4 linked regions of the Lonchura striata genome follow. The protein of the gene in region 2 purifies or fractionates together with the protein of the main gene of each other region. This does not show direct contact. Links are inferred from orthologs where the notes say so. Each region holds a gene or a part of one and is shown on either strand. Other genes may lie near its edges. The genes, in order: FKBP5, IKBKB, CREBBP and BTRC.

Region 1 (7,368 bases), on a different chromosome or scaffold from region 2:
TAGCCTTTTCTCCGGACTAAATGTGGCAATTAAACTTGGATCTATTAAAATGTGTTTGTTTCTTTGTTTTCCGAGCAGCTTGCAGCCAGGTGACCCCTGGCAGTGGGAATGCTGTGCTGGATGATTTATCCCCACACACCAGGGCTCAGCAGCACCTGGAGCATCCCTGAGCTGAATGCCATGAGGGGAATCCCCAGCTCAGCACCCAGCACCGCCAGCAGCAGCTCTGGCACCCAGAAATAACTCAGCACCCAGCACCATCTGCACCAGGGCGCTGTAAATGCCAAATGATTCTGGGCAAACGGCAATTCCCAGGGAAACGCCAGCCTGCTCGGGTGCCAAGTGAGGATTTCTTGGAGAAACATCACGAGGGGACAAACTGCAGGTGGGGAGGGGGGTGGCAGTGGCATCGCTGGGGACGCTGCGAGGAGCAGCAGGGGCAGATGCCACCACAGCCTTGGGGACAATGCCAGCACAGGGGTGAGGACAGGCTCTGACACACTGGTGTGCACCACCTGGGGTGGGGAGGAGGCTGCATCCCACCTGGGCTCCTTTTTGGGGTGGTGTCACATCCCAGGAATGATGCTCTTGGTCAGGCAGTGCCTCCCAGGGCTCGTTTTATTCAGTGGTTAAATTTCATCTAAATCAAAAAGTTCTTGCAATGAGAATATTTTTCCATCTAAGGACAATACTGCTATTTACAAAGATGGGACACTGCAGGTAGAAGATGATTTAGCTGCAGTCCCTCACAGTCCTGACTCTTCACTTCTGACAGTTACTTTACCATTATTTTCCTAATTTTCCAACGCACTCGCTTGCAAAATCAGAAATCCTTACTAATCACAATTACTGGTTATGGAAAAAGCCTGTCAGCTCCATGACAAACAAGTTACATGAACAACTTGTACGTTAGAGCACTCGTGGCCACTTCTTTACACCCACAGGCACAGAGCATTAAAATAAAACCCTTGCTAAGTAATATCTATTTCCCTTTTACGTGCACAAGATCAGTAGGAGCTTCACAGCTCCCTCAAGGGGCTGCAGCAACTTTATAGAAATACATGTAACCAAGAGTGAGTATAAAATAAAATTGATATAAAATAGCATAGAATGAGAAATAACTGAGGACAAACTATTTTTCAAACCACTTACAAAATATTTTTCCCCTGAGCCAGTCTGCAGCCAGCCCAAGGAAATTTTGGTGCTGACCATCTCAAACCTTCCAGCAAACTTTCTCCTTCTGCAAGCAGGTAATTAATTAAAACACACGTAACTACACAGCAGTGGTGTTCCTGAGGGATGCAGTCTGCTTTTTATTCAGTTGTCCTTATTTTTGGCTCGTCCCAGCAGGAAGGTGCTCTAACAGTGCTGGGAAAGGACCTCGACATGACTGAAATGTGTGCTGGGCAAACACAGCCTTGGGAAGATGAGATTATTTGCATTTATTAAAAATAAAAAAAAAATTAAAAATAAAGCCCAAAAATCCCGAACAAACAAGGAAAGATAATTGCATGAGCAATTATCCTGGCAGACATCTCTGTTCTGAGCTGGATGGGCACCACGAGCAGCCTGTACCACCGGACCTCTCCATCCCCCAGAGCCACCAGCCACGTGCTATCACCTCTCCCTGTGCACTTCAGCAGAGGAGAAAACTTCTCCACGACTCCCCAGAAATCTGCTGGGGATTTTTTCAAGGACCTAAACCCACCCAGGACCCCTCCACCCCCTCGCTGTGCTGCACAGCTCCAGGTTGTGGACGCTGCTCCCTCTCTGGCAGGGATTTTCTGTCCCCTCCCCAGCAATTTTGTCCCATTTTCAGAGTACCAGGCTGGAAACGCAGCCCAAGTATCTCGGAGTTGCAGCACTGGCACCCAAATCAAAGCCACAGCACCTTTGGGAAGACAGAGCAGAAAAGCCAGATAGATACAGGCTCTGCCAGACCTTTTTAATGATTTTCTTCTCCTCAGCCCTTCAGCAGGACAGGGGAGGAGGGAGGCAGCTTGCTCATGTTTTAAAGGAAGCGGCAATTTGTGCTTTCAACTCTTTTTTTTTTTTAACTTTTAATTCCAGTTCCCAGGTTGGCTTTGATATCCCAGTGATGTCCTCAAATCCACCTCAAGTTTAATAGCTCGTTAGGATGAGACACTATTTAAACTCTAAAGCCATAAAGTATCAGCTCCTGGCTTTTTTTTTTTTTCTTTTTCCCCATTATGTTTTATTTTTAAGCATACTTTTATTGTTTGCACCGTTGGGGACAGAAATTCGGTTCAGCTTTGGAGCCTCAGCTGGAAGCCGCAGCCTGGGGACACACCGATGACAGACAAATCTCCTACGAGTTCCTACAGCCCATTGTGTAAAATACAGTTTCCTGGGAAGAGCAAGCTCACTCGAACGTGAAAACAGAAGCTCTGGAAGAGTTTTGATGTGAGGAGAGGAGGAGAAAACGCAGAAACTTTTTTAAAAATCACATTTACCCTGTGCAACCACTTCTACCTGCTGCCAAAGGCTGTGCGTAGCGATGCACACACCCTGCGGGGTCTCTCTGCTTAAAAGAAACGCTCCGGCTGCTCCCGGGAGCCTCGGACGGGGATGGGGAGCGGGGAAAGCAGAAATTCCCTCCGGTAGCGGCGGCAGCAGCCCGGGATGTGCCGGAGCATCCCCGGGCACCGCTGCGGGAGCTCCTCCCGGCATCCCGGGGAGCTCCGTGGGGCACGGACCCCGCTCCTACCCTCACCGCCACCATCCCCTTCCCCAGCGCCCCCGGCCCGCTCGGGACAGCGCTGTCCCCGCTGTCCTGTCCCCGCTGTCCCCGCTGTCCCCGCTGTCCTGTCCCCGCTGTCCTGTCCCCGCTGTCCCCAAGCCCGCGGTGCCCCACGCTCACTCAGCCGCTCACCCGAGCAGCGCAGGGTGCGGCAGAGCGGGCACGGCGCTGCCCGGCCCGCGGGTCCCACCTGTGGCAGTGGCTGTCCCCGCTGTCCCCGCTGTGGCCGTGGCTGTCCCCGCTGTCCCCGTGGCTGTCCCCGCTGTCCCCGCTGTCCCCGCTGTCGCTGTCGCTGTCGCTGTCGCCGCCCGGCTCCGAGCGGCCCCCGAGCCCGCCCGGCCGGGCCGCCCCGCCCCGCGCCCCTGAGCCCGCCCTGCTCGCGTCTTATTGGCTGAGCCGCCTGTCCGTCCCCAATTCCCACCTTGCCATTGGCGGCGGCGGAGGCGATATGCAAATCAGAGCGCTGTGCCCGCGCGCTCGCCCGGGTGGCACCGGCGGGGCCGGGCGGGAGCGGGGACAGGGACAGGGACAGGGACAGGGACAGGGACAGGGACAGGGACAGGGACAGGGGACAGCCCGGCCAGGGTGGGACAGGGGACAGGGACAGGGACAGGGACAGGGACAGGGGACAGGGACAGGGATAGGGACAGGGATAGGGACAGGGGACAGGGACAGGGACAGGGACAGGGACAGGGATGGGGACAGGGACAGGGACAGGGACAGGGACAGGGACAGGGAACAGGGACAGGGACAGGGACAGGGGACAGCCCGGCCAGGGTGGGACAGGGGAAGGGATAGGGGACAGGGGACAGGGACAGGGACAGCCAGGCCCGGGTGGGACAGGGGACAGGGATAGGGGACAGGGACAGGGACAGGGGACAGGGACAGGGGACAGGGACAGAGACAGGGGACAGCCAGGCCCGGGTGGGACAGGGGACAGGGATAGGGGACAGTCCGGCCCCGGCGAGAGCGGGGACAGGGGACAAGGGACAGGGGATAGCCTGGCCCCCCTGTCCCGGCAGGGAGCGGGGACAGGGGACAGGGGACAGGGGACAGGGGACAGGGGACAAGGGACAGCCCGGCTCCGGCAGGAGCGGGGACAGGGGACAGGGGACAGGGGACAGGGGACAGGGGACAGGGGACAAGGGACAGCCCGGCTCCGGCAGGAGCGGGGACAGGGGACAGGGGACAGGGGACAGGGGACAGGGGACAGGGGACAGGGGACAGCCCGGCCCCGGGAAGTGCCCGCGGTGTTTGACCCCGGAGCTCCGTGCAGCGCTGGAGAGCAGCTCCGTGCAGCTCCGCCACCCGCAGGGCTCCTCAGCCCCCCGTGGGGCTGTCCCCACCCCGCGGCTTCATGCGACCCCGCAAGGACACCCCAGAGCCGCAGGTGCCCTCGTTGCCCCCCAGCTCCCCGGGGTGGCCCGATCCCTCCCAGCTCCTCCGGGAGTCGCAGGAAACACCGCGCAGAAGAGTGAAAAATTGCCTCAGAGCTGGGGACAGAGATGTGGGTTTGGCGGACAAGCGGCTGCTGGAACACGCAGAAATGTTCCAGTTCGGGAAGAAGGAAATAAGGTTTTTGTCAAGAGCTGCCCCAAGAATAGCGCCCCGGGTTAGAAATCAGCGCTTTTGTGATCATACACCTCATCGCTGCAGTGCCTGAGCAAAAAAAAATGTTGGGGGCAGATTTAAATTGGGACATCTCTGAGTGTTTTTATGAAGTGGTCACTTTTTACCAAGTTTGTGCTGTAATGAGTGCCTGCAGCTCCCAATCCGCATCCTCATTCCCAATAAAATCTTCGGGGCCAGGCTGAAGGCAGCACTGCCCTGGTGGGTGTTTTCTCACAGGTCTGCTCTATATGCTGAGTTTGATTTCCCCAGCTGTAATTTATACACCGGTGTCACTCAACAGAAATACAGAGTGAAAATTAAAGCCTACTTTAGAAAAGGGGGGGAAAAATTGTTTTCATGGCATTTAATTTTCCCCCCGCTAAAATAACCCTGGTGAATCTTGCATGTGGTTTCAAACATTTCCCTCCCGGCTTTAAATTTCCAAGAGCTTTAAATATTCATTTACAAAACAAAATTAAAATATTGTGGGTTTGCAATACCAGGAAAATCCACAGCACAATTCCATCAGGCCCCTGAGATAACACCAAAACCCTGAAAAACCCCATGGGACCAATGGCAGCAATGAGGAAGTTCAGCCTAGTTTGTCCTTGTACTATAAAAATGGTAATTTTTTTTTTGTTTGCATAGAACCCCCCTCCCCCAAAAAAATACATGGGAATAAAGAATCAGAGTTGCTTTTTTAGAAAATAAAAGACACCTTCCAAATCACTGCTATGCCAGTGCCAGACCCCCCAGCTCACTCTGTTTCTTGGGTGGGGAGATGTCCTAAAGTCTCCCCTCTCCCAGGGCTGGGGTCTGCCCCGTTCGCCCCCATCCCTGTAACACAACCTGGAGGAAATCTGTTCCATAAATAATCCTGTTTGGCTTTGTGACGCCTGCCGGGGGTACTGCTTGTTCCCCCTCGCCCTCCAGCTGGCCACACATGTCCTGCCCCAGCCCTGAGCCCAGCTCTGAAAGGACAGGGAGTTTTGGGAAAAGTCTGGAAGCAGGGAGCAAAGCCAAGGAACCTTCTCTGCTGGCTCCCCAGCACCTCGTGTGAGGTGAGAGCAGCCTTCCTCCAAGGGAGAGAGAAAAAAAAAAAATAAAATAAAGCAGGGGATATTTTTATTCATCCTTGTCTTCTGCTAAAAATAACCAGCGTTAATCTGCCTGGAGAGCGTGGGGAGGAGAGGAGTCCCTCCACCTTGGCTGCACATAGAGCCACATCAGTGAATCTCCTGAGAGCGGAGGAAGTGGCTTTTCTCTTTTCTCTTGGTTTCCTTTCGCGTGCGGCAGCACTGCTCCATGGTCCCGGGGCAGGGATCCTCCCCTTCCCGGCGGATCAAACCCATCCTTCCCCTCAGAACCCGGAGCAGCAGTGTCCATTTTGGGGCTCCGAGCAGCGTTTCTTGCGGCCCGGCGATGCCCGCGGTGTGCGCGCCCCTCGGGGGGCCCCGTTCGCCGCTGGCACCGGGGGCGCAGCGCGGTGCCGTGCCCGTGGGAAGCCGCGTGTTTACGGGAGGTGCAGCCGGGGCTTGCACAACAGGCGCCGGAGAACAGGAGAACACCGTGTCCTTGCTGTGGGTGCAGCGCAGCTCCCGGCAGGAACGGACGGACGTGGGGACATGGGGACATGGGGACATGGGGACGCGGGGGATGGGGCAGGAGGGCAAAACCTCCTGCTTGGCATGAGGAGTGCCGACCCCGGCGATGCAGAGCAGCTGGAAGCCGCTTTCTGGCTGAAACTCGCCCCCAAATCTCCCTGCGGGAAGGCCGCTGGGAGGGATGCTGGGTGTGGAGTGACCCAGCCTGGGGCAGTCCCTGGGGTCCCTCCCGAGGCTGCGGCAGCCTCCCCCTCTCTGCCCGGACTCACGGCTCCCCATACGACTTTTTAACAGCCGAGGGGCCGACACATCCCCCTCACACGTGGGGACCCCCAGGGAAGTCCCTGCTCCGTCACAGGCCTGACCCTGCCCTACCCTGCGGTGTGGCCAGAGCCGGATCTTTCCAGGTGCATTCTAATCCATAAATTACCAGATTGTGGCCTAAATTCTGGCCCTTGTTGCAAAAAGCCCCCAAGCCAGCAGACAGGGGCACCTCCCTCCAGAGGCTTCGCTGATCCTAGCTCCATCCCTGAGCTCCCATTTTCCTCACGGCGCTTCCTTCCAGGCACCGGGGACAGCTTTTACTAGAGGAAAGGACGCAAATATTTCCCCAAATTATTTCCCTTCTGAGGAAATGAGGAGAATCGCTGCTTTCCCCGGCTGGCAGTGAGCAGCAGAGAGGTGGACAGAGCCCAGAGCTCCCCCAGCCCTGCCGGAGATGCAGCCCCACAGCAGCAAGGGCAGGATGCAGCAGCGGGGCCGGAGCAGGGAGGATAAATAAAGTCCGGCTCTGCCGTCCTGGCTTGTGGCCACTTCTAACACAAAGTACATTCCGGTCTGGACGTAACGAACTGTACCAGCCTCCGGCGGAGAGGGCGGGTGCCTGGGGGTGCCTGGGGGTGCCTGGGGCTCCATCTCCAGCGTGGGGGTGCGAGCTGGCAGCACCGGGGGTGGGCACAGGGGTGACGGGGGCATCAATCCCCCGAGGACGCTCCGCTGTGAGGAGGCTGGGTCCTTCCATGCAGATGTTCCTGCCGGACGGATCCGAGACCCAAGAACTCCTGCAGATCGCCCTCAGGTGCCCCAATGCTTGCGGCGCCGCCCGGAGAGCGGCGGGTCGGGGGCACAGCCGGGCTGGGCACAGAGCGTGGCTCGGGGGTCAGCGCTGCGGCTGAGCCCCACGAAGCCCCGCCGGGGTTTCGGAGCCGCTCTCAGCCTCTCCTGGCCGGGAGCCGCCGCGGCCGGAGCGGGCCGTGCCCCTGCCGGGAGCGGCACCGGGCGGGCGCGGTGCCAGGCGCCGGGACGGGGACGCGATGTACCGGCCGGGGAGCGCCGGGAACAGCCTGACTCAGCGCCGGGCCGCCGGGGAGGCACCCGGCCAGCGCCAGCCAC
Region 2 (7,710 bases):
AACAGTCACCTTCACTTGCTTCAGCACCACAAACACACCCCATACCATGCAAGTACTTAATCCCAGCCCAAAACTTGATAACAATTAATTCTACCCCACTAGAAAGCAGTAGCTGCTCTTATACCTGAATTCCTTTCTTACCAAGTACTGCAGAGTCCCAACAAAGGATGTGCATAGGCTACCCTGATCCAACTCCTTAGCATAACCAAGGTCAATGATTTTGTGTATTAACTGAAACACACAACAGAGAATAAGAGTGCTAGACCGAAATCCTGTTAAAAGCACATCATACAGCAGAAAGAAAATGTTCAGCTCTTCAAAGCTATACAGGAAAGGTGCTAGTGAAGAGGCAGAAGTAGAAATGGGAGGCTACTGTAGATTCCTTAAGCCACAATGAATTTGAAGGTGTCATAGCACACTTAGCAGTTATGTGTCTAGTTCCTTCCAATCTTAGGTCAATCAGTACAGTGTGGCTCTCTCCTTAATAGCTGAAAGTCGAAATGTCAGGTGTTAACAGATGTCTAATACAATGTCTTAGCTGCACACAGAATACTATTCATCTGACATAGTGGCCTGAGACAGGTGTTATCCTGGGCTGAGTGCTCTTGCAGAGGGACCATGTAACTGCATGAAGCACATGCATGCTCCTTATAAGCTTACTTGTCTGTGCAGGCAGAGACAACTGCTTCCTGCTTACCCTTTGTTCTCCTTGCTGCAGCACAATGTTCTCTGGTTTCAAGTCTCTGTGGATGATCCTGTTCTCATGAAGGTATCTGAGAGCAGAAGCTGAGACACACATAAAGGAAATTTTAAGAGCATAAGTAACAGTACCTAGACAAGATCAGTAAGGACTCGGTTCTATTTATGGCTTTCACATCAAACCTTGTACAATGAAACATACCATGAAACACTAAGTGTAAGGTGTAAAGTTAGCATCATAGAACTCTGGACACAAACTGAGTTCTCTCTCTGAATGTTCCCCCACATTCTTCCTTTAAACTGTAGTAACACTGGCTAGCTTCCAGTAGGCAAGGACCTCCCCAGACTCCCAACACTTTTGGTAGATGATCAAGATCATAAAAGGTCAGTCTAAAACTGAGTCACTAAGGTCACTGCTGTATATTTGGAGAGTTGATTCAGGACTAAAAAGGTTTCTATAGCTCAGACAACTGAAGGCTACCACTTACCAATGTCAGATAACAAGATAAGAATAGCTTCTTCCCGCAAGCCACAGCAATTCTCCAGCTGGTTCAGGTACTGCAAGTAAGCAACACAAAATGCAGTCTTTCCTTCCTCTATCCTGAGTGAAGCCCACAGTCCCGCAAATTCTCAGGGATACAAGAAATTTCAGCAACAGCAATTAAATTCTCCAGAAGCACAAAATTCTATGGGGTGTGACCTGTGACAGCAGCAATTACAGCTTCATAATTAAATCAGCCTTAGCTTAATTGCATGGGAGAATAAAGGAGTAGGTGAAAAGTCACTGTCATCCCATTCTAATCCTTCTGTTTGTTCCATCCCTCTTTGCCATTTCCCCTGTGCCTGCCAATATCAACTCCAATATGAGGCCTAAAGTCTGTGTTTTAGCTATGGGCAGATTACAGCAAAGGTCAGAAAAGCCTTAGGATTAGAACTATCATGTGTTATTTCTTCCTACAACAGACAAGAGTTAATCACTTTAAGGAAGGGTACAGCCTACAGATGCACCTACCCTACAATGGTCTTGGCCATACTCATATTCTGTTGCACATCCCTTACACTTGCCCTCATTATTTATGTGCAAACTCCTCACAGTGTCACTTGCATCCAAAAAACCAAAAGAGTTTCACAAAGCACTTAAGTCTTCAAAAGCTGAACATAGTATCAAGGACCAATCCACCAACAACTGGTGATGCCATGATAGAATTAGGAAGCCTCAGGATGTGAAAGCAAAGGTTCTAAGAGAACAGAAAACCCAGGATAAGATTAGAAGCTGACCCATTCCTTGGTTACCACCCCAGGGACCTCACCTTGCGGAGGTCTCCCCCTTGGCAGTACTCCATGGCCAACAGTGGCAAGTCATTTGGTGCGAGCTTCTGCATCCCTTCAGGGACATCGCGGGCAGCCACCACATTGGGATGGTTCAGTCTGCGGAACAAAAATTAGGCAAGTAGGCATGATGTTCTGCAACTGCTATACAATTTCACATGCTCCTGGTCATCACCTAAAGTGATCACAAATCCTTTTAGAAATTAAATGAGTGAATTCTGAAGGTTTGCATATTTCACGGATCTAGCCTCATTCAAACTCCTAGCATTTCACGTGCAAGACAGTGTGTTTCTTCAACACACATGCATTACAGATCTGTCTAGAAGGTACAGCAACAACTCTTGCAAGGAGTGCAAGGCAGTCTGTTGCCACCGTCCAGAAAAGACCCAAACTGCAATCAGACCACTACACCCGAAAATGCTAATCCAACACCCCAAGGGACAGACGTTAAGGCAAGCAAAGCAGCGGCTAGGTAGCAGCGTTGTTGTAGCGCTGAGGGCACAGCAGACGAGCCGAAGACGGCAGTGTGAAACCCAAGAGTCTCACGCAGCACCGTATGAAGTTTTCTTACGCGTGAACTTCCACCCACCTGCCGCCGAGCGGACCGGGCACCTCCCGGAAGGGGATCCCTTGGCGGCCAGCGGCCGAAAGCCTCTCCCACCATTTCCCTCAGCGCACCCGTCAGATCCGCGCTCCAGGGCCGCCTCCGCCACGCGTCCCGGGGCACCGACGCGACACCGCGCAGCGACCCCTCCGCCCGGCCCGGCCCACGCGGGCACCGGCCTCGGCCCGAGAACACCGCCGCCCCGCCTCACCTCTTCATGATCTGTATTTCCAGCGCCCAGCGGTCGCGGTTGCGCGGGCTCAGCTCCTGCCGGCACTGCTTGATGGCCACCTGCTCGCCGGTTTCCTGTGGACATAGTAAGGGTGGGCTGAGACCGGGTCCGGAGCCGGGGCGCCGCGGGCCCGGCTACCGCCTACCTTGTTGTGCCAGCGGATGACGTTGCCGAAACCGCCGGTGCCGAGGCGCTCCCGCATCTCCCAGGGCCCGCAGGTCAGCGCCTGCAGCGCGGGCGGGCGGCTCATGGCGGGCCCGGCTCCGCTCCGCGGGACCTGCGCTTCCGGCTCCGGCGCCAGCGCCCGCCCTTCCAGGGGCCGCGCCGGGCCGGCGCTCGGCCCGCTCGGGGCCGCCCCGGCGAGGAACGGCGGAGTCGCGATCGCCGTGGCCGCGATACCGCGTGGAGTCAGGGGCTCGGGATGAGAGGCGAGAACAGCTCGTGGACTGTGTAAGTAAAATTAAAGAGTTGCCGTCTTCTGCCCGCAGCATCTCCAAGATCTGCCAATCCGGAACGCACCATTTGCTTTTCCCACCGCACCGCCCGAGCCAAAGCGCTATTCTGGCTTTACATCGGGTTTGGCTATTTCTTCCTTCTGGGCTGGCTGGCGTGAGTTGCTTTAATACCACTGCAAAGATGCACAACAGTACGGGGGTGGAAACTGCTCTCCAAGATCTGCCACAACTCCAGTCGCCTGCGCTGGACCTGCCAAAGCCACCGGCCAGAGAGGGTCCCGCCGAGGTGACATGGGCCTACTGTGGGATGTCATGCTGTCACACTTCGTCACTGCCATTAAATAGTCCTGCTGAAATTATCCCAAGGATCAACGTAGAGAAAATCCAGTAGGTGGTGCTTGAGAGAGCAGACACTTTATTGCTGGCTTTCCTAAAATATGTTAAGCCCTACAATGGCACCACAGTCTGTAGACAATTATAGTTGTCCTTAAGCTCTGAAAAGCCAGGAAGTAATTTCTGAAATCTTCCCCCATGGCCATCAGTTTGTTAGCATCCTTAATCTAGAAATCAAATGGCTAGTATCTTAAAAAATAAAATAAATTAGCCCCTGCTCTCTCAGCAGTGTTCAATCTCAACAACTGGAAGTCCCTTCCAGAAACAGTCAAATGCAGCTACACATCAGATTTATGGCAGTAATGTTATCACTAGCACTGTGACTCTTGGAGAAATAAATTTTATAATCTTGACATAGATCTCCACACAGATAGAGTACGGGTGTTTCATCTTTACCATTATGCAAAATAACCAGTGCTGTGTTTTCCAAACGAGGTCTCTATGCACCTGCTTCTTAAAATAGAAGTCACTCACTCCACATACTGGTTCTTACATCTTATACTAGATTCTGTCAGGAGCTTGATTGCTAGTGTATCAGTTCCAAGCAGGTACGACACATTCATCACTGTAACAATTGCAGCAATGACTGTTTTCATAACAGTGCCCTAAGTTAATCACATTTGTCTGCCACGCTTTGATAACTGAATACTCATGACCACATTCTGGTAAGTAGATCTTCATTTTCTAGGGTGAGTAATATCAGTGAACATTTAACTCTGGCCCTCAACATGCTGTTCCTTATTTGTATCTAAAGTTCTAAGAAGTTTTGCTCATTTAACTTGAAAACTCCCCTGTTTCTTCTCCTGTGGCTCTGTTCAGGGCATGCTTTGCTCCACAATTGGGTCAAGGCCTCTCTGCCTGTGGGAACTCAAAATGTCTCTCAAACATTTTTAGAGGTTCCAAGCCTTAGTCAGAGGCATTCTAGACCCTGGCAGACAGCTGAAAAACAGCTGTAACTTTGAGTTGGGGCCATGGGGTGAGTTGCCAGCTTTGGAGGTGGAACAAGCAGTCACAAAAGGTTAGATAGTATAGTAAAAGTAATTACAAAGTAGAGGGGAATTTTTTTTTAGTATTGTAAAGGGGGGTTTTAGCACATATACAGGGGGGTTTTCACTTTGTACATGGGGGTCAGAAGTTCTAAGATGGAGGAAAGTGGGCTGATCCTGTTCTTCCTCCTTCTTTTTCCTTGCCTCCATGTTCTTGGTCATGTTGGCAGTCACAGATTGGTTTACAGTAGAAAAGCACTTTGTAATATAGGTAGTAGGTATTGGGGGAAAACTATAAACATGTAATACGTAATATATCATATAAAAGATAGCAGCAGCCCTGGGCGGGGAGAGAGACGAAGAAGACAGCAGATAGAGAGGATGTCAGGGTGTGTGTGTGCCTCTACCCAGGCCGCTGATCAAATAGCCGCAGTCCAAGAACATAATCTGTTAGATAACTAGCAATAAACTGCCTTGAGACTGAACAGCTAAAGCCTGTGGAGTTTTTCTTTGGAAGCACGGGTTGGAGGAGGAATTTCACCACCATATGAGACCCCAGAGCAAGGCTGTGGTTCTCACATCTGCCAAACATTTTCATTAGGAACACAGCACACTACACTTGTGTGTGAAACAGGAGTTTCTTGTTATTAGGACTAAGTCTACATACAGCAGACTTCTGATTATATTATAAATAATACAGCTGTGCATTCATTCATACTCCTAGAAGTATAATGGGACAGGACAGTTCGTTGTAAGGGATACATACTATTTTGTCATTGAACAATAAGGTATTCAATGGGGAAGAGATTGTTTTGAGAACTAAATCTGCTCTCTGACTGGAAAAGAGAAAGAACAAAACAAACTGGCTGTAAAATCCAGCAGCATTCCAGCAAGTAGCTTTCCTCCCGTCCTGCACAGGGCTCCCTCCCCAACAATCCGGATGCCAGCCGCCTGCTTGGACCATCCCCTAGATGCTCGGGAAGGGGTGGGATGCGGACAGCACGCCCCATGGCCCAGCTCCATCAGCACGCTCCACCCCCTCAAGTGGTGCTACAAGTAGGACAGAGAGATCAGAGCAGAGACACAGGAAACACAAACCCAGACTGGTCTGGAAAGAAAATCATCAAGACTACAGAAGAGAAAAAGCAAAAAGGTAGGCACTACTCTGCACCTGTTTCAAAAAGGGCATTTCCTGTTTTCAACATCAATGGCATTGTCATTAAATACTATTAAATATTATTATTTAATAAATCCCAATTTAATAAATGAAGTACCATGATAGTTAACTAACTGAACTATTGCCTTCCTGCTTTTGAAATAATTCATAGCGTAGGTAAAGATGCTAACTTTCAGTTGTTTCAAGAAAGCTGAAGCTTTCCAGGGAAAGGGCTGACATGCCTTTTTGTTCACATTTGATAAGTGACAGCTCTTTTTTAGGTCTTATTCCACATAGGTAAGATAATGCTTACATTATTACTGCTTAGGCTGTTAGTAATAATAGGTTAATATGTGGGATTTTAAGTGTTCCTGTTGACGATGCTTCAGCAAAAAGAGACAAATTTAAGGTATAATATAGTGTTCTATCCTAATGTATTTGAAAGTGTAGAATCAAAATGTCAGAACATCACATCTAGGTCTTTGACTTATTGGTCTAGTATTTTTGAGAGGCCTACCAGATGCACACTGCTTGCCGGTTTCTGCTTGGAGCCTTGTAAGCATACTTTTCAAACAGTCAAATTATTTCAATTTGACGGCTTTTCATTCCAGTTGACTGGCCTAAGTTGTACCTTTCCCAAAACTGAAAATAAATGTATGGCAACATCTGTTACCAGTTTTCCATGCATAGTGGGACAGCAGCTATCAGTGGATGGACAGGAAGAGGTGGGGGAAATGCTGCAGCGCTATAAGCTAAGATAGCCTGAACAGGGGCAACAGAAATCAGTGGAAGACAGGATGTGACATCTAATGTAAAACCACTTTAGAGAGACTATCTACAGCATTTTGCAGTATAAACACTTGCTGTGTATGGCTAGAACCTACTTGTACAGATGAATATATGAGTTGAACTTGATTAAGCCATGCAGGTGCTTTTTTAAATAGAGACTCCTCATGTCAGTCTTCCAGGCAAAGAAAGTATTAAAAAGACATTTTTAAGTTTAAACTACCTGCTGGTTTCAGGTACGTAGGACTTCTTCCAAGATATCAGTTAGGCCAGCTGTCCTCCCAGACAAAAAAAAAAACCCAAAACAAACAAAAATACCCCTTATGTTGTCTTGTTTTGGGGCATCTTAGCAGGTACCTCAGAAATAAGGTCTCAACAGTTCTTTACTGTGCTTCCCAGGCAGGAATTCTAACAAGGCAGCTCAGCTGTGATCTAAGTAGTTTCACTGAACAAAGCTTTTCTTGAAAACAAACGCCTTAGCTACCAGAATTCTGTTTCTTGCAGTTGTAAGAACTTCAAGCCTTTTCCACAGATAACAACAAAGATCACCTGTGATACCAACAATTAGCAAGTTAAAACATTGCTACTGTGGGATTCAGAACACAAGCCTGCATAGATGTAATATGGAACCACAGCTGCACGGAGTAAGGATACTACGCAGGGTTATGGCAGAAACCAAGCAACTGGATGGCAGTTCAGATCATTCACTTTGACTTTGGGAATGCTACTGATTTAGTTCAGATTGAATTGAAGTTGAAATTGAATGCTGAAAGTCAATTAATTGAAAATCACTTGTACCATTTTTAAAAAGGCGTGCCATACAATGCAAAAAGTTTCCTAAGAGCTGAAAATAGCTTGAAAATATATAAAAACTGTACTGTGAAATCTACAGACCAATACAAATCACTGAGATATGTGCCAAATTTTAAGGATTTTATCATTAATATGTGACTCAAAGATAAAGCATTGGGTAATTAAGGTCCTTGGAGGATGTTCTTGGGAATCTTTTTAGTCTGACTCACAGCTTAAGTCCCATCTTTTTGCAGCCTGAGGATGAGAAATCACATCCT
Region 3 (7,495 bases), on a different chromosome or scaffold from region 2:
TGGTGCCACAGTGACTACAAGTTACAGGGCAGAGCTCCTCAGAAGTTATTTCAAACACTGCTAATTGTTTGGCTGTAAGGTTTTGAGGTCATAAGCTATAGAAATGATACTTCCATGTTTTGGGTGGGGAAGGAAGGTAGGATCTCAGGAACTGTGTCTTTAAGCAGCTTAGTCCTGGAGACAGGAAGTCTGGCGATGGGCTGCAGCAGTGCAGATTTTATTATGCAATTTCTCTTGGAACTAGTCCCCGAATAAAGGAGTTATCCATTAAGCACCTGCTTCACCCTCCCTCCTGAGCATCACAAATGAAGGCCTCAGGAATCCTTTCAAGGGCTTACCCATCAGTGGGGGAGCAGGGAGCCATGCACTGGAGTCCAGACTGAGAATATTGGTGTATTTGACATATAGTGTCTTTCAAAGAGTTTCTCTTCATTATTAAATCCTCCTGCTCTCTTTGAGTTTGTTGCATGTTTGGCATTACTAGTGAGTGAGGCCATCCAAGTCTTGCAGTACTGACACCAAAGGGCTGTGATACCCAGGGTACTCTTAGGCCTTCAGGGTATTTAATCATAGCCCTCTTTCCAAGGGGCAGCTGGTAACAGCCGAGGTCTTCCTCTCCCTCCTGCCATTAACCCAGCGCTGTTCTGATCCCATGGCAGGGGATCTGATCCCCTTAGGGGCCATCCTAAGGGGACATTTCACCACAGAGAAGCTGCAGGACACAGCAGCAGTAGGATCCTCCTCCTCTGCCCCTGCTGCCTGGGGTGAAGGATTCCCTCCCTCCAAAGCACCTCCTTTCCCTCCCACTCTGCTCCTGGGACTTGCAGCCCCGCTTTGACTTCACTGGTGTGGCAAGCCTGGCACTTGCTGTAAAGACAGAGGAGCTCTCCCAGCTCATCATGGCCTCCATACATCCTCTGCTTTTCTCCCAACAGCGGGTACACAGCATTTCCCTCAGAGGCACCGACACAGCAGCTCCTGTCACAGCACTGGGGCTGTCAGCGCCTCAGCAGCTGTGTGCTCAGGGCTGCAGTACTGCTGTAACATGGGTGTGCTGCCCAGCACCAGGCAGCATGAACATCCTCTGGAGAGTGGCAGTAGCCATGGGACCACTCAGGATCTGTCCCCAGTGGTAAATCTCCATCCTGACTTTATCCCAGAGCTGCAGAGTTAGTGCAGCAGCAGGGAAGGGGGTGATGAGGAAGTGCTATGGAGGGCTCCTGGTGTCAGCCACTCCAGCATATCCTTAAATGATGTAATTGAAAAACCACAGCTTCCTTTGGGTTTGAGGGGCTTTAAACACCAGCTCGTTCCACCTTCCTGCCATGGGCAGGGACACCTTCCACTAGCTCAGGTTGCCCAGGCTGTAATGACCAAGGCAAGCACAAAGAGTGATCCAAGACACAGTTCAAAATACACCAACTAAACTTGTTAAAAAGTTCAAGCAGGAGCCAGAAAAAGACCCTGTTGTCCTCGGCTGTGACTTAGAATCTGATGTGACTCCCACCCCTCACCTCCAACAGCAAAACATTTTCCTTTAACCTAAACTGGAATAAATGCTTTATACCACAGTAAAATGCTGCTGGACAGGAGCTGCTGCTTTTACATCTAGAGGCACTGTGAGACACCAAACCCTGTCCCACACTGAAACATCCTGAAACAGATGGGAACTCATTGCTTTTGAAGGAAATTAAAGCAGGCACAACCAGAGAGCACTTACTTGTGTAGCTAATGAGTAGTGCAGTGATAGAAACAGAGGCCTGACAGACCTCCACGTGATTACAGCCAGACCTCAGCAAGGACAGGCACCATGTAAATAAATACAGAATTTGCAAGTAAATGTAATGAAATTCATGTAAATGTAGAAGTAAATGTAATGAATTCGAGTTTTGCAGTAAACAAAACGCAGACTTACTCTTTGCAAAGTAATCTGTCATTATAGATCTCCTTCAAACCAATAAATTATTGCTGTTGAATCCATCTCAGCTTATGGAGCTTGTCAACAAATCCTCAGAATTGTGTCCAGATCTTCTCCAGCCTCTCCTCCCATTGTGGCTACCTTTGGAGGACATTCCAACATGAAGATGATGAAAACAGCCCCAAGCAACCAGTTTGGGTACAAGGAGCTCTGCTGCCACACACGTCACCGGGGCTTATATGACCTGATTCTCAGGTTGGGAACCAGTATGGAAATCTATGGAAGTATATGAGCTCCAGTCTTCTAAACCTGTTTTGGGCTGGGGAAGTCTGTCTAGACAGAGCAGAAAGTGTTTGTAAAGTGAGGCTGGGGTTTGATGCTGGTGCCTGAGAGTGGGTCAGCTCCGATGGGACACTTGCCCTTGTGTGTGGCTGCTCTGAGGGCATGGGGAAAAATGGGGGCACGGGGAAAAATGGGGGCACGGGGAAAAATGGGGGCACGGGGGAAAATGGGGGCACTGAGGGGGAGCTTGGGAGGGGATGTTGTGATGGGCGCATTGAGAGGGAATGTCCACAGTAGAATTGAGAGGGGGAACTGCAGGGGGTAACTGAGAGGGGACATGCTGAGGGGGACATTGAGAGAGATCCTGTCTGTGGACTGAGAAGGGAAGTTGAGAGGTGACTGAGGGGAAACTGAGAAGGGAGACTGTGAGGGGGATGGCTGTGAAGGGGGCATTGAGAGGGGACATCTTTGGTGAGACTGAGAAGGCAAACTGGAAATACAACTGTGAGGGACTGATAGGTGTCTGAGAGGGAAAATTGAGGACGATTCAGGGAGAGATGAGAGGGGACATCCATGGTGGGATTGAGAGGAGAGACAGGGGTGAGGGCTCTTAGGAGTATGTGGGGAGGAAAGACTATGAGGAGGCATTGAGCCATCCGTGGTGGTAGTGAAAGGGGAGATTGTGTGGGTGACTCTGAAAGGACTGAGAGGGGAAGGGGGGATCATGGGCAGACATGGAGGGGACACTGTGCGGGGGCACTGCGACATCCGAGGGGAGTCAGAGAGGGGATGTGGGGGGAGACTGGCAAACGACTGAAGTGAGGGATCTGAGGGACTGAAGGGAGACTCTGAAGGGCCAATGAGCCATCCATGGTGGGACTGCGAGGGGAGATTGTGGGGGTCCCTACGAGGGGACTGAGGAGAAACGGGGACTGTGGGGAGGCATGGAGGGGTCGCCGTGAGGGGAGCACTGAGACATCTCTGGTGGGACTGAGGGGAGACTGCGGGGGACGCTGTGAGGGTGGAACAGACATCTGAGGGGAGTCGGAACACTGTGAGGGGACAGCTCTGGGTCCTGAGGGGGAGCAAACAGGAAAGACCAGGCGAGGACTTTGTGGGTGGGAGGGAGAGAAATGCACTCTGAGGGGACTGAAGGGAGATTATGAGGGGGCACCGGGAGCAGGCACCTGAGACATCTGAGGGCAAACGGAGAGGGGACGCTGCGAGGGGGTGCTGCGGGGGGAAGCCCCGACTGAAGCAAACAGGGCAGACCGAGGCGGTAGCGGGGCGCACCGAGGCGGGGCAGGGCGGCGGAGAGCGAGCGCACAGCACCGCCGGCACGGCGTGCGGGGCGGGGTCGCCGCCCGACCCTCCCGCCGCTCCCGAGCCCCTCAGCGGAGCAACTGAGGACGGCGCCGGCCGCTTCCGGCGCCGCGCGCGCCTTTCCGGCAGGGCGGGGCCGCGCCGCGAGCGCGCTGACGCAGCGCGCAGGCCCCGCCCCCGCCCCGCCCCCGAGGGCTCTGGAAAAGAGAAGAGAAAAAAAAACTTTTTTTTTTAATTGAGGAATCAACAGCCGCCATCTTGTCGCGGAGCCGGAGCGCGGCGCGGGCGGAGCGGGCCGGGCCGGGCCGGGCCGGGGCAGCGGGGCCGCCCCGCCGCCGCACGGGGCAGCCGCGCCGAGCGCCGCCGACGCGCACAGGGGGCTCGAGCCAGCGGGGCGCAGCCGCCCGGAGCCAACCGACCGCCGCCGCCGCCACCGGGAGCCGCCGCCGCCGCCGCGCCGCGCTCATTGTTTTGGGGCGTTTTTGGGGGGTCGGCGCGGTTTTCCGCTTTTTGGTGATTTTTTTTCCTTTTTTTTAATTTTTGCCCCCCCCCCCCCCCCCCCCCCGCTCCCTTCTCTTCTCCTCCCCCCCCCCTCCTCCCTCCCCTACCTCAGCCGCGGGCGGGCGGCGGGCGGGGGCCGGGGCGAAGCCGCCGCCGCGGAGGGGAGGGGACGGGGCGAGGCGAGGGGAGCGTGTGGGGGGGCGGAATGCGCCCCGAGTGACGGCCTGAGCCGCCATCCGGGCACCGCGGCGGGGGGAGCGCCCGGGAGGAGCGCGGCCGGCAGGGAGGGGGCGCTGGGCCCTTCGCTCCCCGCCCCGAGCCCTCCTCCCTGCGGCCTGCGGCGGCCCGGCATGGGGGAGCGGGGGCGGCCGGCCGGGCACTGAGCGGCGCTGTTGGGTTCCCGTGCGGCGGAGGAGCGGGGACAGCGAGCTCGGCCCCCCCCGGGCACCCCCCGACAACGATCGCCGGCTCCGCCGCTCCGGCCACCATGGCGGAGAACTTACTCGACGGGCCGCCCAACCCCAAGCGAGCCAAGCTCAACTCGCCGGGCTTCTCCGCCAGCGATAGCACAGGTAAGGCCGCGGGGGTGGCTCGGGTGGGGCTCTACGCCGGTTCTCCCCCACACACCCCCCCGCCCCCGCCGCCCCGCCGGAGGGGGGGCCTGCGGGACCGCCCGCCCTGCCGCGGTTCCTGGCGGGGGTGGGTTGGGCCTCCTGCAGTCGAAGTTACCGGGCGGGACCCGTACGCCAAGTACCGTCCCGGCTATAAATAGCGGTTGGAAAGAGACGTTTTTCGAGTTAGGTTTCCCATCTTTTCCTCCATCATCTTCGTTTTTAGTGCCTCGGTTTGGGTGATGGGGGTGGACAGGTGAGCGGAGTGCGGGTAGGGAAGCGACCGTCCTGCTTGTTGTACGATCGTGGAATGGTTCGGGTAGGAGGGGACCTTAAAGCCCGTCTTGTTCTATCTTCTGCCATGGGCAGGGACACCTTCCACTATCCCAGGTTGCTCCTAGCTCCGTCCAGCCTGGCCTTGGACACTTCTAGGGTTGGGGCAGATGCAGTTTCTCTTAGCAGCCTGTGCGGAGGGCCTCACTGTCGTCAAAGGAAGGAATTTCTTCCCGATACGGAATCTAAATCTACCCTTCTTCAACTTGGAAGGGTAGTTAAGTTTCTGTCTACTCCTTAAACCCCACAGATTACCCACAGCTAATAGCCCTATACAGGCTTTTTCACTGTGCCCCTGTGTGTGACACACTACGGAATAAAAACTCCTTAATAGCTTCTTAGTCATAGAATGATATGGGTTGGAAAGAACCTTGAAGAACATCTAATTCTATCCTCCAGTTAATACTTTGTGCTTTTTTTTACCTCCCAGCCTGTGACCGAGGTTTTCGGGCATTTGGCTTAAACTGTTTCAAGCATTTTTCCTTTAAACCCCAAACGATTTGCCGATAATAATTGAAGTTGTGGGGTTGCTCGTATGCCGAAATGCCCAGCAGCGTGGCAGTCATTGCGACTTGCCTGCGTCGTGTGTAGTGTCTCTGGCGTGCCTTTTTCTTCAAATGTGATGGATTTGTAGATAATAAAACAGATAAAAATGTCTTGTTTCCAGCCAGTGTGTGCCCGTTGTAAATACACACGTGTGCATAAGAGCATGTGTGCCTGGACCGACCGGCCTCTACCGGTGTTCCGACTGTTTCAATCCCTGAAAGAGTGGTTTCAGAAGAACTTGAAGTCTGTTGCACTTTAATTTCTGCTTTCAGAGATTAATGAATCTTGTGGAAGGGATAGTGATAAGTTAATCATGCTGTGCCTGCTGTGTTTTCATAGACTGAAAAAAAATACTACTATAATTGAGCTGATAAATTCTGTGGGTTTTTTCGTCTTGCTCCATCTATATTTGGCAACACTTTACAGATGCTTTGGTCCTTTAGGGTTTTTTTATGGAAACCTTTTTTCTCAGCCTGCAAATAAATTAAACAAGCGAGAAAGAAACAGTATCGAATTAGAATTGTCAGGGAATATCTAGGTGAGGTCTTGTGATCTTACCCCCTTGTGTGGAAGCACTGGAATATATGGAAGGCTGATACACAAGTTGCTGCGAAATGCTCTTTGTAACTCAGGACAAATACAGTTTATAGTTCTTTAATACTTCAGTGAGAAATTTTAGACTCTCCTGGTAGCCAGTGTCTTGGCTTGTTTTTTTTTTTCTTCCTTCGTTCTTTTTTGAAGTTCACTTGGGCTGTTCTGGAATGCTTCAGTCTTAATTACGTCCTGTTCAGCAAGTTCTCGTGTGTCTCGGGGAGCTCTGTGTGGCGCTGGATGTGTGAACTCCAGCATCTGCAGAAAGTTCTGCAGGGCTCAGGGGGCCTGGGGGCACCGGGATGGCAAACCCCAAGTTGTATTCTGGACAAGTGTGTCCAAGGAGTTCTGTCATCATCCTGGTGTTCCATAGGCAAAAGTACCTCTCTGCCAAGGGTGTGGGTGATGTTTGTGCACTTAAAGAGAGGCTTGTTTTTAGGAAAAGCACTTCTAGGTTTGTTGCCAGCAGTTAATGCTGCTTGTTGAAGGATTGCTGAAGGTTTCCGTGCATTGTGGCAGGCGATACAAATAGTTTGAGTAGTGATTGCTGTCAAATGCCTGCTCCTGGAACTAAACCAGGCTGCTCCCTGCTGCTGGGGCTTAAATAGAAAAGTTCTGTTGCAACCTGGAAAGTGGCCTTTGTGATCGAGGGAGCCTGGGGAGATGGGTCTGAGGCTTTTGCCCTGGCTGAGCAGTGAGTTGAACAGAATTATTGTAATTGCAGCGGTAGCCCCACACTGGTGGGTGCTGTGGCTGCCGTGAGGGGGATGAGGGGGACGTGCTTTCACAGCCTCTGCATTGGGCCCAGCTGAACAGTTCTGCTCAAGCCTGCGAATGCTCACACCCGAGGCTCTGATGGCAGACCTGAACGTTGGGCAGAAAGCAACTGCTCTCCTCCTTGTTTATATTTTCTTGATGCTTTGATGCGGTGATGTTAAGCAACTCCTTTTGTCAGGGTAAGTTTTAGCTGCCTTTAATCTTTCTGATAAAAATAGCTCCTCAGCTTACCGGGGCAAAGTTTGTGCCATTGAAATTGGTCTGCTTACCTTGTGAAAATACAGCCTTTTCTGTTAAACCTCAGTGGTTAAATTCAGTGTCTGGTCTTGCAGAAGGGTGCAGAGATGAAAGGATAACAGAAATGGGTGCTGTGACCATCGTTAAGTTTCATGATAGTCTCATTTCGCAGTTGCCGTGCTGCTCTTTGTATCAATAAGGAAGGTTAAGACTCCTGGCTGTTAACTTCACTTGCCATTGCTGTGCTGTATTGAATGAGAAGACTCCTGTGGTAAAATGTCCGTGGGAAAGATTTTTCCTTGTCTAGCCAGGTAGGAGTAGTGCTCTTGTCTAATTACTGCTTTATTGGATACACAGGCGTTTTCATACCTAAACA
Region 4 (8,217 bases), on a different chromosome or scaffold from region 2:
CAAAAAAAAAAAAAAAAGAGACTGAAGTGAACTAAGACAGGTTCCACTCTAGTAAAATCTTTGCTGCAGCTGCAGAACACTAGACTATTTAATTTTAAAGATTGTCTTTAAATCTATGAACCATCTTTCATTCAAAAGGAAAAAAACACACCAACAAAACTTTTGAAAGATGATGTGCAGAACACATGATACAAGACACTCATTCACCAGCAAAAACAGTCTTTCCTTGTGAGCAGTGGCTTAGTATTGTGTAGTGTTCATACACAGCAATTTAATATCAGAAATAAATTAGGTCTTATTAAGACATAGAGGTAAATTGAGTAAGCAAATGAAATTAAATAAATTACTTAAATCTTAAAGTATTAGATTATACATATTGTACCTGAGCACAGATAACCAGAAAATGTAGCAGGTATCAGTTAAATGCAATACTGCTTCATTGGCAAGTAATCCAGCCAACACCAGCTACTGAGAAGGCAGCTGCCTTCTACTGCCATCAAAAAGTTACACAGACATGAGCATAGAGAAGAACAACAGAGTACTGTTTGTCTTTCAAAGCATCAAATATGGATGCTTTAAAGCAGAATAATTTAATTAATAATATTAGCACTGGATGAAGCTTTCCCATTTTTCTGTTAGACTTGGACATTAAAATGAAAATCAAATCACTAAGTCCATCTTGCCTGGTACCTTGTGATTCAAAAGAGCTGCTCAAAGTCAATGTCAAAAATTAAGTTCTCACATTTTTAAGTGGAAAAAAAAGTATTATTTTCTAGAGAAGCATAAACAAACTACCACCTCGAGGGCTGCTTTTCAGTATGAAATGAAACCTACCCCAAACACATATCAAAACCAAAACCGTCTCTCCTGCCTTTGACAATAGGCCTCATACCTCCAAAATGTACTTGAATCTTTACCTACAATGCTCTTTGGGAAGCTCCCAGGAAAATCAATAATTATTAGCAAAGCCCATCACAAGCCAAACTGTGAGCCACCTAATAAGGAAGATGCAAATGAAGCGTATCACATACTCTGATGGACAGGGTAATCCACAGTGAATGATTCAGCATTAGCTGAGAGGATGCATGAGCTGATCTGCTACCTCTGTGTGGATAACTGTACCAGTGCCACTACTGCAGTGCCTGAGCACTGTCTGAGTGCTACATGGACCAGAAAAGACATTTTCAGGAAGGGCCAGGATGATACTTGCAACTGATTGCTCCTGTATGCTGATGTATCTATCTGTGTCACCCTTCCAGAACACCAGAAGACCCCACCAAGTCTGACAAACACTTCACTTCATCAGCAGAATTAAAGGAAGAGCCATGTTCTGGACTGATGCACACTAAAGCAAAAGCCTGGGATGTGCTTAACAAAAGCTTTGCTTACTCTATTCTCAACCTGTAAGCAAAAAAACCCTAAAAAGTTCAGAATGGACAGAGAGAAGTCATATCTTTCACTGTATGTTTTACAGGCATTTTGCAAACAAGAGGCACTTAAATAAAACATGAAAGAACGTGGGTTAGCTTTTAGCTCTCAGTGCAGCCTGGTCTTGATAATTCTTCCCTTTATCTGGTGCTCTTAACAGATGCATATCCCAGAAGAGCAGCTTCCTCTCACAGGCATGCCTCTCCCCAGTGTCAGGGAGCTCTATTGTTGGAGTCCATCAATATCTGTTGTTGTCCATCTATATCAGCTATTGTTGGAGTCCATCATCATCCTGCCAGCTGCAGGATGGACAGGGATTCCCTCAGCCTCCAGACCCAATCTTACAGACAATCTCAAACCACCCGGACTAAGCCCTTGAATGAAAATCATAGCACAGGGGGCCAAAAAGCAATGTATGAGAAGTCAGCATAGCATGCTCACAATGCTGTCTGGCAGCAGACAAGAATGTTTCAGCAGAAACTTTCTGGGATGTGAAACTCACTATCTAGAGGCAGGTTGTAATTACCAAGCTTGGCCAAACACAAGTGCAGCAGGATCTGGGACACTCCTTTGGCCAACCCCACACCAAAGATGGCCATTCATTACTTCTGATTGATATCTTGCTGATTTAGGTGTCCATAGCATTTTTCCACTTCACCTAGCTGAGACTCTATAAATCTGACAAACTTGGAGACTACTAGCAAATGGCTTAAAAAGTCTCAAGAGAGAAACAAGTTCTTCCAGATGAAAAGCCAAAAGTCAAACAAGTGTATTGAAGCTCAATTAGAAATTAAAATTTGCAGCTAGTGTTTCCTCAATTTCATTTTGGGCATATGTTCTGACAATTTAATAGCATTCCTTCTTCCTGATGAGCTCAAGTTTAATTCTGTGACACTAGAAGCACTAATCCAAAACAAACTTTTAGCAAGTGCTGCCAGTCATTTGAATTATATCCTTAGGGAAGAAGAGTTCAGGGCACCTGGAATTCACATTCAATTTAGTTGGCAACACTTTGTTTTCGTTTCTAAATTTTACATTTCTGGCCAAAATGCTCAGAAACATCAACAAATTAAGAAAGAAGAATGAAGCTACCGTTTAAGTACACAATGCCTCAAATCTATGGAAATTAGCTATATTAGAAGAGCATCTTGGATGCATGTACTGTTTTCCATACCAACTCAAAACCTAAACAATGTATATGCTCCCCACAGTTCTATCAGTGATGTGCTGCTGCAGCAGCAGGTGAAACACTTAACTGCCAGGATTTAGAGATCTGGCAGGAGAATGGGAGGAAAAATAAATTACAGAGAGATGGTGAGCAGTACAGCAGGATAGTCTAAGGTGCACAAATAAAGAAAAAAATCCAAGAGTTACATGCGCAAAGCCTGCCGGTGCCTGCGGGCCCCTCTGCCAGGTCCTGCCTCACTCCGGTTTAACTTCCCCCTCTCCCAGGTGGCACCTGCAGCCGCCTCCCCCTGCTCCCGAGGCTCCCGTTGCCGGGATCTGGGGACCCTGCTCGCTGCCCTCCCCGCGGCAGGACGCCCCTCCCCGGGCCCGCTCACCGCCTTCCCCGCCCGCCAGCCCCGAGGCCCGGCTCCCCTTCCCCGCTGCTCCCCGCTCCACCTCGCCCCGTTCCCCCGCAGCCCCTCCACAGGCAGAGCTGCCCACCCTCCCCCGCCGCCTTCGCCGACCCCCGCGGCCGCTCACCATGAACTTGAGCGCCTTTTCCTGCAGGACGGCCTCGGCCGGGTCCATGGCGCTGCGGGGCCGGGCCGGGGCCGCCCCCCCGCTCAGTGCAGGCCGCAGCCAGCGCAGACGGGAACCTGCGCTGCCCCGCGCCCCCCCACCGCGCCCCGCTGCCGCACCGCGCATGCGCCGCTCCGCAGGCCCACGGGAAATGGAGTCCCCGGTCACGTCCCTGGCAAAGGGCCGACCTGCCGGATAAAACTACAAATCCCGGCAGGTTCCGGGCCTGGGGGCACGCTGGGAGCCGGCTGGCGCATGCGTTGTGTGAGCGCAAGGGCCGACGGGGGTTGTAGTAACGTGGGCCTAAGGGTGCGAGGTGCGGGCCAGGGGAGGATAGACGCGGCCGCTCGGGGCGGGCGAGGGAGGGAGGCGAGGTCCTGCAGGTGCCGTGTGGGCAGTGTCCAGCTCCAGTCCTTCCCTGCGGCTGGAAGGTACGGCTGGCTCCCGAGTCACAGCCCCGCGCTCCCAAACGCGCCGCAGGAGGGCTCGGCTGCTCCCAGGCTTTGCTCCCGCTGCGCTCCGTGCTGGCTGCCCGAGCCCATTGCTGCTGGCAAACCTAAACTGAGCCCCTGCACTGCGTGCAGAAATGTCTGGGGAAAAGTTACCAGGTCCGCAGGGGATGTGAAACTGGAAAATTTGCATCACTGGCATGGATCAAGGAGGCTGACATCATTCTGGAGAGATGTTTGTTTGAAGCCATCCTGTACATAAAAAGCCTCCCGTGGTGCTTTGGTGCCCTTCTTCTAATAATGGTTTTAGATCAATTTTCCCTGAAAATTGGACCAAGTTTTCTTTGCTGTACTAAGCAGCAAAGAGAAAAAAAGAATTGATCAGCATTCCTTGACTAGCAACTGCATATAGACAGAAAATTTATCTTATCTCCTCTGTTTCTCTGTTGCACACTTACAACATCAGCTCACGTGGCAACCATTGTTTCTAATCCTCTTTATTAAATTTGTCTCATCTCTTTCCAGTTTTTCTACATTTTTCACGGTGCCCAAAAACTTAAGCTGACGTGTATGGAGCAGCAGAGAGGAATTGCTTCCTATGGTTTTAATACCAACTATAAAACCCTGATAAGTTTTTACTTCTCTATAGCAAACAAAACACTGATTTCTAGCCAGTTTGTCATCTAGTAAAACACTCTGGTTCTTTTCCTTGCTGCATTTATATATTTGGCTCTGCATTTTAAGTGAGATACTCTGAATTTCTTCCTATTTAAATGCAAAGAAGCCAGCCACAAACATCAGCACTTGTATGTCCACGTGCAGCTCAAACCCATTGTTTTCATTCCCTGTTTGACACAGCAACAAAAGTGAAGCTTCAGGCAGGTACAAAACCTGTATCTCCTGAGTCCCAGTGCCTTCCCTCATTTTCTCTAAACACTCCATCTCCTCCAGATTTTCAGGCAGAATGATTAGAGAGAAAACAGAGGATGCAGAGAATGTGCCCATTACTGGATTCCTCCCAGGGCATGTGACTAGGTAGTGCCTTGTGATCCAGTGCCAGGAGAGTCTGCTGCAGCCAGTGACCCAGCAGAGGTGACAGGGAATGTCAGCCTTTGCAGGGTGTGATGCTGGCATGATCCATGCTCTCAGAGCAGTGGTCTAAGAGAAGGAGGAAGAGATAACCTGATGTTCTCCCTCTACAATCCCAGGGCATTGAAATCTCCCAAATAAAGCTTCCATGTCACCAGGACAAGAGGCTGCCATTCATGACCCAGCCATGCTCTTGGCTGTCGTGCTTTAAGCCCAGACTCTTAGCAGTGAAATGCCTGAAATGCTTGGCTCTAGTGGGGCTGGGCACTTTCCAGACTGCTGACAGCACTGAGAACACTCACCACGATTATATAAATAACAGTAATTATAAGGAGGGAATCCTATAATTACAAAGGGAGGGCTCCTGTAACAGCACTGAAGGCAAGCAGGGGCTGCTGGTGCTCGAGGCAGGGCTCTCCCATGTCTCCTTCCTCCAGGCATCCTGCAGCTGGCTTGGGGTGTAAATGGATCCTCCTGGTAGCAGCGTGGCAGGCTCAGAGCTTTGATTGCACGGTTTATTTGTCAATAATATCTGATGCCGACCTAATTGTTGGAAAATTGGAAAGTGTAATGCTTCAGCATTAGACACCAGTGTCCCAAAGCCCTCCAGGCTGATTGATCTGTCTGGACTGTAACTTACAGGGGATTAATGTCCCTGAACTCTGTGGAGCCAGAACTAATGAGTGTTTAGGTGCTGGACTTAAACTTGGTGGTAGAAGGTCATGGCTTGGTTACTCTGCCACACTGCCATCAGAACCCCACAACACAGAACCACTGCAGAGGGACAGGGCAGGAGCCTCAGCTGCAGCACAGAGTGACTGAGGAAAGACTCCCAGAAACAGCACTTGGCCCAGCAGCGCTGAGCATGGAGTGACACCTTGTTGTGAGAACCTCACCTGGATCTCTACGTCTGTGGCCTGACCTTGTCGCCCCTTCCCACTGTGGGATGCTCCCTGCAGCTGAATGGCCAGCTCTGCACCCACCAGCTTGCTGAGTCCTCTGTGGCCAGAGGAGATGATGATCAGCACACCAAGCTGTGACACCATCAAGGTGTCACATCAGACAGCAGGCAGAGACCAATTGGAGAGGTGTGTGGTTCATAAGGCAGGGAGAAGGCACACTTCAATAGATTTACCACCAATTATTTGTTTGAGTTGCAGGAACTGGACATGTGTAGTCAGTGCTGTCTCTGCCACAGTAGAGCTGCCCTTTACTTTTCCTTGAAACAGCAATCATACCCCCCCACCCTGCCCTCCACCCCCTCGCTGCAGAGCACTGAAACGAGCCCATATAGTGCTCAGGGGCCTCACCATCCTTCCAGATGAAGGATGCTACCTAACAGTAAAGATATTACTGTGATTATTTTTACAATAGCATATTGCTCTGTGCATTCCAGACTCTGTGGACCACATCCACGCCTGGTGTAACGCCATGTTAATTTGCTGTGGCAGTCATTAATTGGGTAAGGAACAGCTGGTGCTTTGCTTCAAGTGAAGCTGATTGGGTCAGTAAGTAAGTGGTTAAGAGATCTACAGCAGGTATAGCCCTACCTTTCTCTGCACTCCAGAGGGGTTTCACTTCTTGTCCCAGTGACCCATGGTGGAAGCAGCAAGATTTGGCCATAAAACATTAGGGAACTTTAATCAGTGCGATTCCTTTGGGCATTATTGCCTGAATTTTTAAATTTTGAATAATAAAGGATGATTTTAAATTAAATTTGTGGAGTTGCCATCTGTGTGGGCTTGGCCTTGTTTTCCTCTACTTTGGCAGTGCCTTGGCTTCATTCTTTCCAAGTTGGAGCAAAGAGGAAGGGAAGTGAAAATAAGAGAGTTCACTGGTGGAAGAATCTTTTGTTGTTCCCTTTGTCCTGCAAGAACTTGGCAGCAGCAGTAGCAGCAGCTGCTACTGGGGCTGTGTTTCACAGGGCTGAACACAGAGGCAATCTCTGGTAGCACAAGAGCTTGTGAGAAGGTGACAGGGACCCCTGCAACCAGAAACATCCCAGTGGGTCAGCTCAGCCTCTCCAGCCTTGCTTTTCCTGACAGTGTCATGTCCCACACAGGGCTCTGGCATCTCAGCTAAAGGCACTTGGTGTGCAATGGCCTAGGGAAACTGAGGGCAGAATGCCTCCCTGTAGCCTGTGGACAAAGGGTCTCTTTTAGGACAAAGGGACACTCAGTCATGCAAGAGGGAAGGGAGGGAGTCCAGGACCACACAGTATGAATTATGTTCTCTGAGCAGGACAGTACTCATTACTTGGTATAAGTAGACATGCAAAGCTGCACGTATGGAGGGGATGACCAGAGAGAAAGGCTTGTCTGCAGAGAAACCACAGTAGTGTAGGCTATAGATTAACGTCTATGGGTTGAGCTGATTATATCTCTTATGCTGCTGCAAAGGGGAGATGCATCCTCTCTCCTGTGTCTGACAGCCACATGTTTCTTCTCACCTTCTGCTGGCTCCGAAACCTATTTGCTAGCACAGTAAGCTGGTTTAGTTGACTATATTGGCAGGAAAATTATACTCAGGAAATATTAACTAAACACTTTGCTCACAAGTCAAACTGGCTTTTTCTTACAACCACACAAATGGCAAAGTTGCTGTAAGGGCAAGTGGACCAGGGCAAAGAAAGATGAGATTGGTCCCTCTTAGTTACTGGGAGCTGCTAATTCAGCAAACAGAAGGTGGAAAACTTCTTGTCTTCCCACTTGTCAGGATCCCTGGACCCTCCTGAGGGTTGAGAGCCCTCTCTGCACTAATATCATCATCACTGGCTCTGGATGGCCAAGGCAGAGTGTCTTGGAGAGAACACATCCTGAAAGTTTGGAATACTTACAGGAATCCTGAGCAGATTAAACCTGAGTTCACTTCCCATCCTACCGTAGTGGCTGCATGGTGCTGCTCCCCCACCAGATTCACTGGGCCACTGGGAAGCTGACGATGCTGAAGCCCTGGTCCCAGTCTTTTCCATAGACTCTGTAGGTGCTTTGTTTAAAAATATGGATTAAAATGAATCAGGGTGACAACATTCTTGCACAGGTGCTGTACCAACTGTTCAGCAGCCTTCCCAGACTCTGAGGTCTTGCCAGAGGCCACGGTGAGGAGCACCAGGCTGTGGCACATACAGAAACATGCACCCCAAATCCCAGCCTGCCAGGTGCCTCCAGCACAGATCTGGAAGTGCCTCTTTACCCTTAGAACAGCTCCTTCCCTCTCTGAGACCTTGCTACCTCCCCTGGGGTGTGTCCTTTGGTGTTTGCAGCACCTTCCATCAGCCTGTCCTTGACACAGCAGCAATGACAAATTCATCAGTCCTTCAGCAAATACGAGTCCAGAGGAGCATTGCTGGGAGCTCAGTGCTGCTGCCTGAAGGGTGGCAAAGGGGAAAGAAAGATTTCTTCTTACAAGGACAAAAAACAAACCCAAACCACCAAACCTGACCCGACAGAACAAAAACAACCCCAACAAGTACCTTGTAGTCAGAACAGCCTTTTAAAGCCTCATG

The links.
Region 1: the proteins of IKBKB (region 2) and FKBP5 purify together in Homo sapiens (affinity purification with mass spectrometry; 3 studies listed by BioGRID and IntAct, with this or other methods). This does not show direct contact. The link is inferred for Lonchura striata from reciprocal best matches to the Homo sapiens genes IKBKB and FKBP5.
Region 3: the proteins of IKBKB (region 2) and CREBBP purify together in Homo sapiens (affinity purification with western blotting; 3 studies listed by BioGRID and IntAct, with this or other methods). This does not show direct contact. The link is inferred for Lonchura striata from reciprocal best matches to the Homo sapiens genes IKBKB and CREBBP.
Region 4: the proteins of IKBKB (region 2) and BTRC purify together in Homo sapiens (affinity purification with western blotting; 3 studies listed by BioGRID). This does not show direct contact. The link is inferred for Lonchura striata from reciprocal best matches to the Homo sapiens genes IKBKB and BTRC.

What each region holds. Positions count from the first base shown.
Region 1 is NC_134632.1:4,621,122-4,628,489, forward strand, and holds the start of FKBP5 (peptidyl-prolyl cis-trans isomerase FKBP5), read right to left. Parts: upstream 3,072-7,368; 5' UTR 2,952-3,071; intron 2,913-2,951; exon of another isoform or gene 2,894-2,912; intron 1-2,893. UniProt on the Homo sapiens protein: Immunophilin protein with PPIase and co-chaperone activities. Component of unligated steroid receptors heterocomplexes through interaction with heat-shock protein 90 (HSP90).
Region 2 is NC_134634.1:4,929,591-4,937,300, reverse strand, and holds the start of IKBKB (inhibitor of nuclear factor kappa-B kinase subunit beta), read right to left. Parts: upstream 3,143-7,710; 5' UTR 3,115-3,142; coding exon 3,010-3,114; intron 2,939-3,009; coding exon 2,844-2,938; intron 2,128-2,843; coding exon 2,010-2,127; intron 1,258-2,009; coding exon 1,188-1,257; intron 787-1,187; coding exon 698-786; intron 232-697; coding exon 142-231; intron 1-141.
Region 3 is NC_134618.1:3,872,886-3,880,380, forward strand, and holds the start of CREBBP (CREB-binding protein), read left to right. Parts: upstream 1-4,361; 5' UTR 4,362-4,511; coding exon 4,512-4,596; intron 4,597-7,495. UniProt on the Homo sapiens protein: Acetylates histones, giving a specific tag for transcriptional activation. Mediates acetylation of histone H3 at 'Lys-18' and 'Lys-27' (H3K18ac and H3K27ac, respectively).
Region 4 is NC_134609.1:19,680,593-19,688,809, forward strand, and holds the start of BTRC (F-box/WD repeat-containing protein 1A), read right to left. Parts: upstream 3,276-8,217; 5' UTR 3,184-3,275; coding exon 3,136-3,183; intron 1-3,135. UniProt on the Homo sapiens protein: Substrate recognition component of a SCF (SKP1-CUL1-F-box protein) E3 ubiquitin-protein ligase complex which mediates the ubiquitination and subsequent proteasomal degradation of target proteins. Recognizes and binds to phosphorylated target proteins.